Callithrix jacchus: one gene and its partners. The protein of the gene in region 2 purifies or fractionates together with the protein of the main gene of each other region. This does not show direct contact. Links are inferred from orthologs where the notes say so. Each region holds a gene or a part of one and is shown on either strand. Other genes may lie near its edges. The genes, in order: BTRC, RAPGEF2 and MAGI1.

Region 1 (3,651 bases), on a different chromosome or scaffold from region 2:
AGGCAAAATTCCTAACAGAAGTTCCCAGCAGTGCTGCTGGTACCCAGAACTCAAGCTATCCTGGACTCCAGCAGTATAATGGCTGTGTCATCAAATCACTAACGCCTCTGGAAATTGAGGGCCCCTCCCTGAGTGAAGCTCGCAATTAAAAACTGCAGGGACGGCAGGGGAGGAGCTGACAAAGAGCACAGCTCACCTGTACATGTTTCAAAGGAGATAATACAGACCTGCACTACAGTTACAACCACCTAAAAGGACGGCTTCATTACATTCATGTCATTCCCCTGTGAGGTGGTTTTTATAATGCAAGCCTTACCATAAGGATAAGAAAAGTTTCTGTGATAGATGATTCTCCAAATTAAAATAGAATGTGTAGTTTCTTAAACGTGCGAAAATGTTAACTTACCTCAAGCATTCCTAAATCAAGTTTTCTAGTTCTAGACTGACACAAATGATGGGGACTCGGTGGTATATTCTTCTTTAGTTTCAGAACTGTGCCGATATATACAAAATTACTATCTATGACAAAGAACAGAGCAGAGCTGATGTTTCAAAGTTCAAAAGAGCATTTGAAATTTTCTACCTGACTGTGGAATCCGATGATCCGGTTATGATCACTCTTTCATCATACTGGAGACACAGGACAGAACCTGTATGGCCTGTGAGAATTCGCTTGCATTCCAATGTGTTTTTATCCCAGATCTAGGATGGCAAATAAGATCCTTTTGATCAATGTCATGATGGGGTGCTGTGGAGACTTGTTGGTCCTATTATGTATTTGATCTCCCAAAATAATCAAAGCCCATAGTAGTGTGGAATGCATTCTTTCCTATAAGTATAGCTAAGCGCGCGCGCATGCGCGCACACACACACATACATACATACATATACGGCTTCAGTACTAATACAAACCTTTATCCTTTTAATTAGAGAACAGAGTAGCCTATAATTATGTGAGGGCCAAAAGAGTAATAGCCCATTCAGTTCATTTCAAGAAGAGAATTTAACCCTAGAGACTTCCTATTTGTATAGTATTCTAGGGGGAAGCAGATGTCTGTCCTTTAAGGAAATGATTTTGGCTTTGGGACTGGAAACAATCTAAAATCTTCACTTACTTTCTAGAAATAATGCTTAGAGTTTATGCTGTGGACTGTGTTATGAATGTGGTCACCCTTGCTCCCTCAGCTACCTTCCTACAACTGAACAGACCTCACCTTGATTGTGTTGTCTCGAAGGCCGCTTACTATTTTCTGATCATCATACTGTAAACAGTAAACTCCTTTGCTTGTTTCACTTCGGCAGTGGATTCTCTGTAAACTATGTCTTCCACATCTCCAATTAGATTCTATTGTCTGAGAAGACAGAAAGGTAAAGAGGCAGTAATTAGGAAACGCCTAAAACCAAACCCTTTTTGGGCTTTAATGGCAATCAATGACTTAATGCTTTACTCTGTGGGAGATACATCGCTTAGGGAAAACTAAAAAATATCTATTAAAAAAGCTACTATCTAAATTTATAAAGTATTTTTCCTTTTGCAAGGTAATTAAAGATTTTTTCTAGAACCCCCTCCTGCATATCATTTGTTCAATTAAATAATAAATCTGGTGGGAAGAGATGACTCATCAAGAGAAGAAAAGCTATGAACTATGTGAGGTTATATGTTCAGTGCTCTTACATATGCGATGGCCATCACTACCGATGAACTTCTATGGCGGCTGAATTCAGAAGATATTTAAATATGAGCTTATGGGTACTAGTTTCCCAGTCACACTGCTATTATATGAAGGGATCAATCTCTTTAATTCTCTTTCATCTATTAGTAAACAATTTTTTAAAGCTTTAAAATTTTGCCTAGCAATTTATTTTACCTACCCTACTTAACTATAAAGAAATTGATTTTCTTTTTCTTTCTGTTTTTTTCTGAGACAAAGTCTCACTCTGTCATTCAAGCTGAAGTGCAGTGGCAGGATCTTGGCTCACTGCAACATCTGCCTCCCAGGTTCAATCAATTCTCCTACCTCAGCCTTCTGAGTAGCTGGGGTTACAGATGTGTGCCACCATGCCTGGCTAGTTTTTGTATTTTTAGTAGAGATGGCGTCTCATCATGTTAGCCTGGCTGGTCTCGAACTCCTGACTTTAGGTGATCCACCTGCCTTGACCTCCCAAAGTGCCGGGATTACAGGCGTGAGCCACCACGCCAGCCAAGAGGTTGATTTTCAACTCACGTCAATAAACCTTAATGGGCTTGGTGTAACCATACTGCAACTGAAGAAAGATGTACCATTTGGAAAATACCCCAAAATACACAGATTCTTACCTCAATGTCTTGTATAATTTTAGGATAAAGTGCTCTATAAAAAGAGTTGGGAGGAGTATTCCCATCAGGAGGTTTGTTTTTGAATAAATACTGTCCCCTAAAAAAAAAAAAAAAAAATATTTCCCAATGAAAATCATGACATTAAATATTTACTTATTTATTTATTTTTTGAGACAGAGTCTTGCTCTGTTGCCCAGGCTGCAGTGCAGCAGTGTGATGTTGACTCACTGCAACCTCCACCTCCTGGGTTCAAGCAATTCTCCTGCCTCAGCCTCCTGGTAGCTGCAATTACAGGCGTTTACTACCAAGCCCGGCTAATTTTTGTATTTCAGTAGAGATGGGGTTTCACCACGTTGGTCAGGCTGGTCTTAAACTCCAGGCCTCAAATGATCCGCCCGCTTGGCCTCCCAAAGTGCTGGGATTACAGGCATGAGCTACCATGCCCAGCCAACATATATGTAAGGAGCTTCATACATTTTCAAAGTGTTTTCACAGTTACCATCCTATATACTCTCCAAAGCTGCCTGGGGAGGTCCAAAAGTAATCTTGATTTCAGCCTTCTGGTATCTAAGGAATCTGCCTAACATTGATTTGCTTTTGGGTAAAACATTATTTCCAGTGTAGAACATTGGAGTACCAAACCTTTAGGAATATTATGAGTAGACAAATGGAATATGTATAATCAGAATTCATCTACTGGTCTATTAAGACTACTGCATAGATTCACTGGCCTCATCTTTTGGAAATTTTGTTGGTAATGGTAACTATTACCTTTGAACTAGCACATACCCCATAGTCTTTTTTTTTAACTATGTCAGTGGACCCCTGCATTGCAGACAACAGTAATGCCTGTAATGGAGATCACTTCTTCTAGGTCTTTATTTGTGTGGGGTAAGATGTGGTGGCTGCTCAGTCACCCAGGCTGCTGCTGATCAGTGCAACTATTCTTTGAAATGAGCAATTCAGTTCATTTCAACAGAAAGCAAAAGGATCACAGGTGTGTCCAGTGGCAGCTAGGGAAGAAGATAAATAGAAATGCCTAAGAGCACTGTGCTATCAAGTCTAAGGCATGAAACTGACTTTCACAGGTGTGTTCCTGGCTGTGTACATACATACATGTACTTAACTGCCTTCCCTGATTCCAGTGAGCAGCATTTGTTAGTATCTCCTTCCTTATGACAGCACATCTCTGGAATACTCATATCCCAAGCTAGATCTTTGCTACAAAAAAAATCAGTAAATGGCAATCACTTCCTGCTGGGTAAAAAATTTAATTCCTCATCCTGAAGTTAAGAACCCACCAAACACGGTGTGGAAGCTAGTAAACCCCACTA
Region 2 (4,361 bases):
GACATCAGGATTACTTCTAGGCAACTGATTGACCTAAATACAAACCTATGTTTTCACGGAGCTTGGGAAATGAATGAGGCTGGCAAGACTTTAAAAAATAAATAGAATTGAACAGCAGGAAAAATAAGTTACATATTTTCCAATTCTTTTCTTTTAAAGCACTTCCCTTTTGCCTATAAGGAGAATCACACAAACTCCTTTATCAAGCCTATCCTCAGAAACAGAAGGAAGCACAACAGCAAAACTTTCCTAATTCCTGTCCTTCTGTTCACGATATCAAGCTTATTTAACATTGCTTTTCTTATATTGTGAAATTCTAACTCACAAACATTTATAAGACAAGACTATGGAAATTTTTCCAGCATTCCATTCACAAAGCATTCTTAATATAAAAAGCACCTTCTACAAAAGCTTTTTTAAAAATAACTTCTGAGTACATTTTAAATTTTTAGACAATCACCTCTGGCCAGTCAAGCAAACTTTTGTAAACAAATAAACATGGGGGTTTGCTCTAGCAACAACCAAATGAACATCAAAGTCAATAGGGCTGACACTTAGGAATGTCTGAAATGTTTGGTAGGTTTCCTGATGTTTGGTTTTTCTAGGAAGATTTGGTGGGGCAAATGTGCCGCTTTCTGACTATCAATGGAGCTCTCATGTTGTGGGGTTAGTAATAGCTGGCCCACTTACTTCTGACTCAGGCAAGATTCTGTGTTGGGTCAGCTTTTACCCTATTCTACACAACTGGCAGGGGAACAATAAAGTTTAACAGTTCATTTATTTGGCACAGTCACCCTGCAGTCACAGTGGAGGTTTTGCCTCTTCTAGTCTTGTTTGGTGACCCACCCTCCCAACCTGATAGCAGGTTTTAGTCATTGTTATTCTTCTAACTAATCAACCAAATGCACAACTTCCCCCCTCTCTAATTTCCACCAAAGGCCTCTGACATCATTTTCGGACCAGCCTTGCTAGGTTCTAACATTCTCAGCATGCGTAATTTCACTTGGCACTTAATATTCTTGAAAGACAAGGAAATATTTCACTGAAATCTGCTTTTCCTTCACATTGAGACAAGGAATGTGCATTTTCAGATACAGAAGACTAATTCAACTGACAATTTTAAATAGATGAGAAAGACACAGGAGAGGCCGTGCGTGCAACACCAAGGGCAAGATCAAAGCAGGACATTCCTTGTTGGAATAAAAATAGTCTTTTAGAATGGGAACTTTCTGGAGACACTGAAACAAATTTTCTTGTAAAACTACCGCCATCTTCCACACGTTTGATAAACATGTGCAATCTATCCATGATCTCCCAGATGTGACAGCTCCATCAGGGAAAATGAAAAATCAAAAAATGGTACCAGGTGCCATTCTTGGGGCTTGTCCAAAGGCAGCCAGGGGAAGACTCTATTTTATTATGCTCTCCCCACACTAAATAATAATCAACATCAGAGAACGAGAGCATTTGGATTTGAACAGATGGCATCCAACACCTAACAAGGGAAGCAACACTTTCAAGCATTAGATCCTAAATGTTTTGATGGTCCCAAGAATCAGGAGGGCTTATTTGTCTTAAAAGGGTTGGCAGGCAGGATCTCCTGTAGTCACCATCCCAATGCTTAGGAACATGCGTCATCATCGGGTCAGCAACTAAAAGTAGAGAAAATTAAGCCACCATATTTTCATAAAATTTCGCCCACTCTAGTAAAACTTGAGACAACCAAATCCAACCCTATTGGCCGCTAAAAATAAGAAAAGAATAAGCCTGAAGGTAAACAAATGTATAAAGGTTAACAAACTTATCTAATTTTGACAGGGCTGTGCAACACCAAAAGAATCCGCAGGGTGCCCTTCCCGGGGGTGTATTTGAACATGCCTGCTCTGCAGCTAGGTCTGCAATTTAAAAGCACTAGCCTAGCTATTCAACTTTGCTTCCCTTCAATTGAAAGCAGCATCCTTCCAAAAAAAGAAAAGAAAAAAAATGCAAAATAGTAAACATACAAACACCTCAATGTTTTCCTTTAGAAAGTCAAAATGGATTTGTCTTTAGCACAACCGTACAAGTTTCCTACTGTACCTTTCAAACACTACGAAACTCCTAAGGTAGAAGGGCCACTTGCAAGGGGAGGAACGGACCTGCAGTCACGGGGGGCAAGAGTCGCTGGCCGAGGGGAGATGAGACCTCATCCCCTGAGATTCAGAGGCCCCCAAGGGCGGCCGGGGAGAGGGAAAGCTAGAGAATTCACACACACACACACTCACTCTGCTGGACAACATGGGGGGGGGGGTCAGTCATGGGAAGAGGAGCGTTGAGGAGAACGTCAAGGAGAGGGAAATCTAAAACCAGCATAAGGCGGAGTGAAAGACTCGGAGGTGGGATGCCTTTGGAATTGAGAGTCCTGATACTACTAGAAGTGGGGTGCTCGGGGCGAACTATGTCAGGAAGAGGGTGGGGGAACAGGAGCAGACGCAGCCTGCGAGGCAGAAATCCGGTCAAGTGCAGACGGCCCCGGCGTTCTCACCTGGGGGGTCCTCTCGGGGGGATTCTTCATTACCGCCTGGCGGAAGCTGTTATCCACGTAGGACGCCATCTCCCCCCTGCGGCTCGGGTCGTGCAGCTGGGCACCCTGGCCGGCCTCCTCCCGGCCCAGCGCCGCGGCTGCCTCCGCCCTGAGCGCTGCGCCCGCCCGCCCGCGGCTAATCAGCCAAACCGCGGCGGCGGCGGCGGCGCGGGGCCCGCGGGGGGGGCGGCTCGAATGGGCCCGGCGGCCCGGAGCGCAGTACAGGCGCGAGGGGCGCTGGGCGCAGCCGGGAGGGTCGCGGCGCGCGTAGGCTGCCGTACCCTGCGCCCAGCAGGCGGAACTCTCCTTCCTCCTCCTCTTCCTCGCCGCTCCGCAGGCTCCGTCCGGCCCTGGCTAGACACGCCTCCCTGGCTCCACTCGGGGGACAGTGGCAGCTCCTCCTGGCCCCAGCGGGCCCGAGTTATTTTTAGGGAGGTACGAGTGGCAGTGGGGAGGGCAGCGGGCAGGCAGAACCTCCTCCCCCTCGGCGCTGAGAGTCGCCCCCTCCTCTCAGAGGCTCGCGCCGCCACCCAGGGGTCTCCGGGAAGCACTCCGATCTCCCGCGTCCCCAGTCCTTGGGCGCTCAGGCGCCGCGGCCGCTGGTCGGGAGGACGGACCGGGTGGGTCTGGCACCGGTCTGGGCGCTGCGAAGCCCGATCACCTCGGCCGCCGTCGCCACCGCTCCTGGTCTCAGTCTACTGGGCTCGGCCGTCCCTCCTGACTGCTGCTGCATCCCCTCGGGCCGCCCTGCCGCCGCCGCCGCCGCTGCCTCTGCTGCTCGGGCCGCCGCTGTAGGCTCCGCCGCCGCTGCCGCCGCCTCCCCCCATCAGCGCTCCCGGAGCGGAGTTGCCCCGGCGCCGGCGCCGCCGCGGCCAGAGCACCCCGCCCGGGCTGCAGCCCTCCGGCCCAGTCGCTCTCGGCAACTTTGTTCCTCGTCTGTGCGGGACGCAGAAGGGGAAAGAGGGGGCCGCAGGCAGCCCAGTTTCGGGCGGCCGACGCCGAGAGCCGAGCGCAGCAGACAGCCCCCTCGGAGAGAGTGTTTGGGAAGCGGAGATTCCCCTCCTCTTCCTCCGCCTCTTCCTCCTCCTGCGCCTTCTCCGGTCGCCCCAGCCGCTCCTCAGGGAGGAAGCGGCCTCCGGGCCTTGTTGCTTTGTGCTGAAACCATGGTGAGGAGTGAGTGACAGCTCAGGGGCCAGTCGGCGGCCGCCGCATCATCGGGGGGCGGGCAGCTCCCTTGCGCTGGGTCCCGCCTCTCCGCTCCCAGCCCGCCCGCGGGCCGCGCCCTCGCGTGTGAGCCGCACTTTCGGCGGCGCCCAGGTGAGCAGCGCTCGGGCTGCAAGGGGGTCGCGGAGCCGTCGGCCGGGCTGGTGGGTCCCTCACGCGGCCTGAACCCTAGGATGGGGCGCAAGTCCCGGTGCCCCGGCGAGAAGCGCAGGGCTTTTCTCTCGCAGTGTTCCCCACTGTCTCACGCTGCGACCCCTCCCCACACCCGACGCTGGCTCCTAGGAGACCCAGCCGCGTCGGGTCGCCGCTCCCCGCCCGCTCCTGGCGCCAAGCCGCCGCCTGGGGGCTGAAAGCTAACCCCGGGCAGAAGACCGGCCCGCCAGCCCGAGCCATACGGGGCATTCTTTTTGAGTCCAGGAGTTGGCCCGGAGTTGCTTCTGTGGCGTTAAATCCTCTTAGGGTTTATTTTGCTTGTTTGTAATTTGCTGCACCCTCCCCTGCTTTCCAAGCCCACTTTGGCACCTCAGACATTAAAATGACCACGAAATTAGGGAGAGAGGTTTCAACACCAGAC
Region 3 (2,597 bases), on a different chromosome or scaffold from region 2:
ATGTCTTCCTCACACCCAGCATGCTGTCCCCATTCCATCTACTATTCAGCCTCCAATCAGACAACAGGGAAGATGCTTGTTGTCTATTCCTTGTAGTAACTGAGCAAAGCTGTGATGGCACTGCCTTAAATGAGATTTTATTAGATATTGGAGATGTTCATGAACCTGACTGTCTGTGCTTGTGCTATATTGGGTAAAGGTAGCCGACCTTTTTGTCTCTGTGCCTTCCTGGGCCAGGGAGAGTACAAACTGTTTTCTGAACCAACTATAACTCACAATATAAAACATCTTTGTGCTGCGCAGTTTAGCTATAAATATCCTTCATTTGCAATAGTAGTCTTGTCATACAGTTTGCTTAATTTTAGGATCATCGGCAAACTGAATCCATCCCAAAGGGTCCTCAGCTTTTACAAATAAAACTTTGCCTTTTTGCTATCTGCTTTTAAGAAAAACTCCTGACTACAGTATAGCACTACATCACTACATAACACTCTATATCAAATTAATTAAACTTAACCAATAAATTCCCTTACTTAGAGAAAATGATCAACAGCCCCATTTAACCAGGAGAGAAAAAGATTGCCCAAAAACGGGAACAATTCATGACGATTCTACAGGTTACGTAGAAACAAAATTTATATCCCTTTGGGCCAGCATTTGGCAAATAATTTCCAAAAAAGTATGCATTTAAAAATACTTTCTTTAATATGATACATCAGGCACAATACTTTTCATATATTTTTTTTTCTTATAAGATTTCAAATGCATAAAATGTTTGTTATTCATAGGATCATCAGGTGTCAGATGCTTCATTAGGTAAGAAACTAAATAATTTCAGGTTTGTGACCTTCCTCTTAGAACCTTTGACACGGTAAAGGTTGGAATGTGACTCAGCATCTCAGATACTGAGGTCGGTGCTACATTCTTTGTAAGGTCGCCGTCTCTGCTCCGGGGGATGTCTGGAACTTCTGCCAGCATCCTGTTTCAGATTCACCTCTTCTCTTTCTCGGTGGCTGGCTCTGTCCTCTCTGTTCCTTTTGTCCAGGGACCGCTCTCTCCTGCGCTCGGGGGAGCGCGCGCGCCTCCGGTCGGTGGACTTGGCCCTGCGCTCGGGCGAGCCTCCTCTCCTGCGCTCGGGGGACCTCCTCTGTTCCAGGAGTCTCTCCAGAGACCGTCTCCGCCGGCTGGGGGAGCCGTCTCTCCGGCGGGTGGGTGACCGCTCTCGCCTCCGCTCGGGAGAGACGTCTCGTCTCTTGTCGTGCTTCTCCCTCCTCTCCAAAGTGTTGTCGGCGCTGCGGGTGCCCTCCCTCCGCTTCTCCGGGGACCGCCTCTTGGGGCCGTTGGCGGCCGCGGCGCGCTCGGCCTGCGCGTCCCTCAGTCCCTCCGGCGCCCGGTCCTTGGGTCGGCATGCCCCGCTGTCGGGTTTCCTCGAAGTCCCATTCCAGGTGTGGTGTTCATTGGGTTGTCTGCTATACTCCCTGCTGCCTTTCGGATCCCTCGCGTGTGCCCGCTTTTCCCCATGTGGTGATGATTTGTGAAGATCGGGTAGGTAACTGGACTCCAATGACGGATGCTGCCGGCGGTCGGGCCCGGCCCTCACTTCCGGAACACCTTGTGGACCGGTGGCGGGGCCGTGGCGGTCGCTGCTGGGGTCTGCCAGGAAAATAAAGGAGAGCAACAGTTGGGTAGGAAGGTCCCTCGGCTCCTGTCCCCGCTCCCACCCACACTCGAGACCTCATTAGTCACAACAAGCAAACAACTGTTAAAGCAGTCAGACTCAAAGCCAACTGAATCTTGTTAATTTTAGGACAACTGCATGTAGTTAGGGTTGAAAACTAGTGCTTGTGGCTTTCAGAGTCAAGCTGGCTGACTGTTCTCCATACCCGAGGCATAGAACAGACAAAAGTCAGTCATGATTTGAGTCTTTTAAAGGCACAATCCAAATAGTCTGTCTAGAGGCATCAACATTTCCTCTCTGTAGCTATCCCTTCTTCTTCCTTTCCCACCTCCCAGCCCTTCTCCCCCGCATCCACCCCTCTCCCACCCCCCAAGAAAATATTCTTTGCTTTAAAGAACACTTGCTTTGATTTATCTAAAAAATATTTTAGGGTATTGATCTGGAGGGGCACCTGGGAAGCTTTCTGGAGGAGGGTGGGCATCATCTATATCTTATCTGGGTGGAGATTAAATGGGCACATATAGAAGTAAAAAATCTACAGCACTGTATACTCAGGATTTATGCATTTTACCTTATGGTTAAGTATACTTCTATTTTAAAAAAACAATCCAGGGTAGCAGGCAAAGGGGATTACAGAGGCAACACACTGGCCAGATGTTGATGACTGGCAAATGGGATAGTTTGCAAGGGCCCATTCAACTGTTCTATTTGCATTATTCAACTACTTTCTCTACTTTTGCGTACATTAAAAAATAAGGAACTGTTTTTGAAAAATAAATAAGGAACTTTTAAAAATGTGTTTTCTGGTAGATAAAAGGGAGGGGAAGAGAGGCTGTTAGGTACACATTTGAGATTGGATGGGAGTCAGATAAAATTTTCAGTTTAGAGGCACTTTTTCTTTATGATATGGGATGTAGTC

Evidence for each region.
Region 1: the proteins of RAPGEF2 (region 2) and BTRC purify together in Homo sapiens (affinity purification with western blotting; 3 studies listed by BioGRID, with this or other methods). This does not show direct contact. The link is inferred for Callithrix jacchus from reciprocal best matches to the Homo sapiens genes RAPGEF2 and BTRC.
Region 3: the proteins of RAPGEF2 (region 2) and MAGI1 purify together in Homo sapiens (co-immunoprecipitation; 3 studies listed by BioGRID and IntAct, with this or other methods). This does not show direct contact. The link is inferred for Callithrix jacchus from reciprocal best matches to the Homo sapiens genes RAPGEF2 and MAGI1.

The regions. Positions count from the first base shown.
Region 1 is NC_133513.1:94,483,202-94,486,852, reverse strand, and holds part of BTRC (F-box/WD repeat-containing protein 1A), read right to left. Parts: intron 2,415-3,651; coding exon 2,318-2,414; intron 1,353-2,317; coding exon 1,215-1,352; intron 703-1,214; coding exon 584-702; intron 1-583. UniProt on the Homo sapiens protein: Substrate recognition component of a SCF (SKP1-CUL1-F-box protein) E3 ubiquitin-protein ligase complex which mediates the ubiquitination and subsequent proteasomal degradation of target proteins. Recognizes and binds to phosphorylated target proteins.
Region 2 is NC_133504.1:37,237,721-37,242,081, forward strand, and holds the start of RAPGEF2 (rap guanine nucleotide exchange factor 2), read right to left. Parts: upstream 2,868-4,361; 5' UTR 2,594-2,867; coding exon 2,525-2,593; intron 1-2,524. UniProt on the Homo sapiens protein: Functions as a guanine nucleotide exchange factor (GEF), which activates Rap and Ras family of small GTPases by exchanging bound GDP for free GTP in a cAMP-dependent manner.
Region 3 is NC_133516.1:47,144,142-47,146,738, forward strand, and holds part of MAGI1 (membrane-associated guanylate kinase, WW and PDZ domain-containing protein 1), read right to left. Parts: intron 1,654-2,597; coding exon 899-1,653; 3' UTR 1-898. UniProt on the Homo sapiens protein: Plays a role in coupling actin fibers to cell junctions in endothelial cells, via its interaction with AMOTL2 and CDH5. May regulate acid-induced ASIC3 currents by modulating its expression at the cell surface.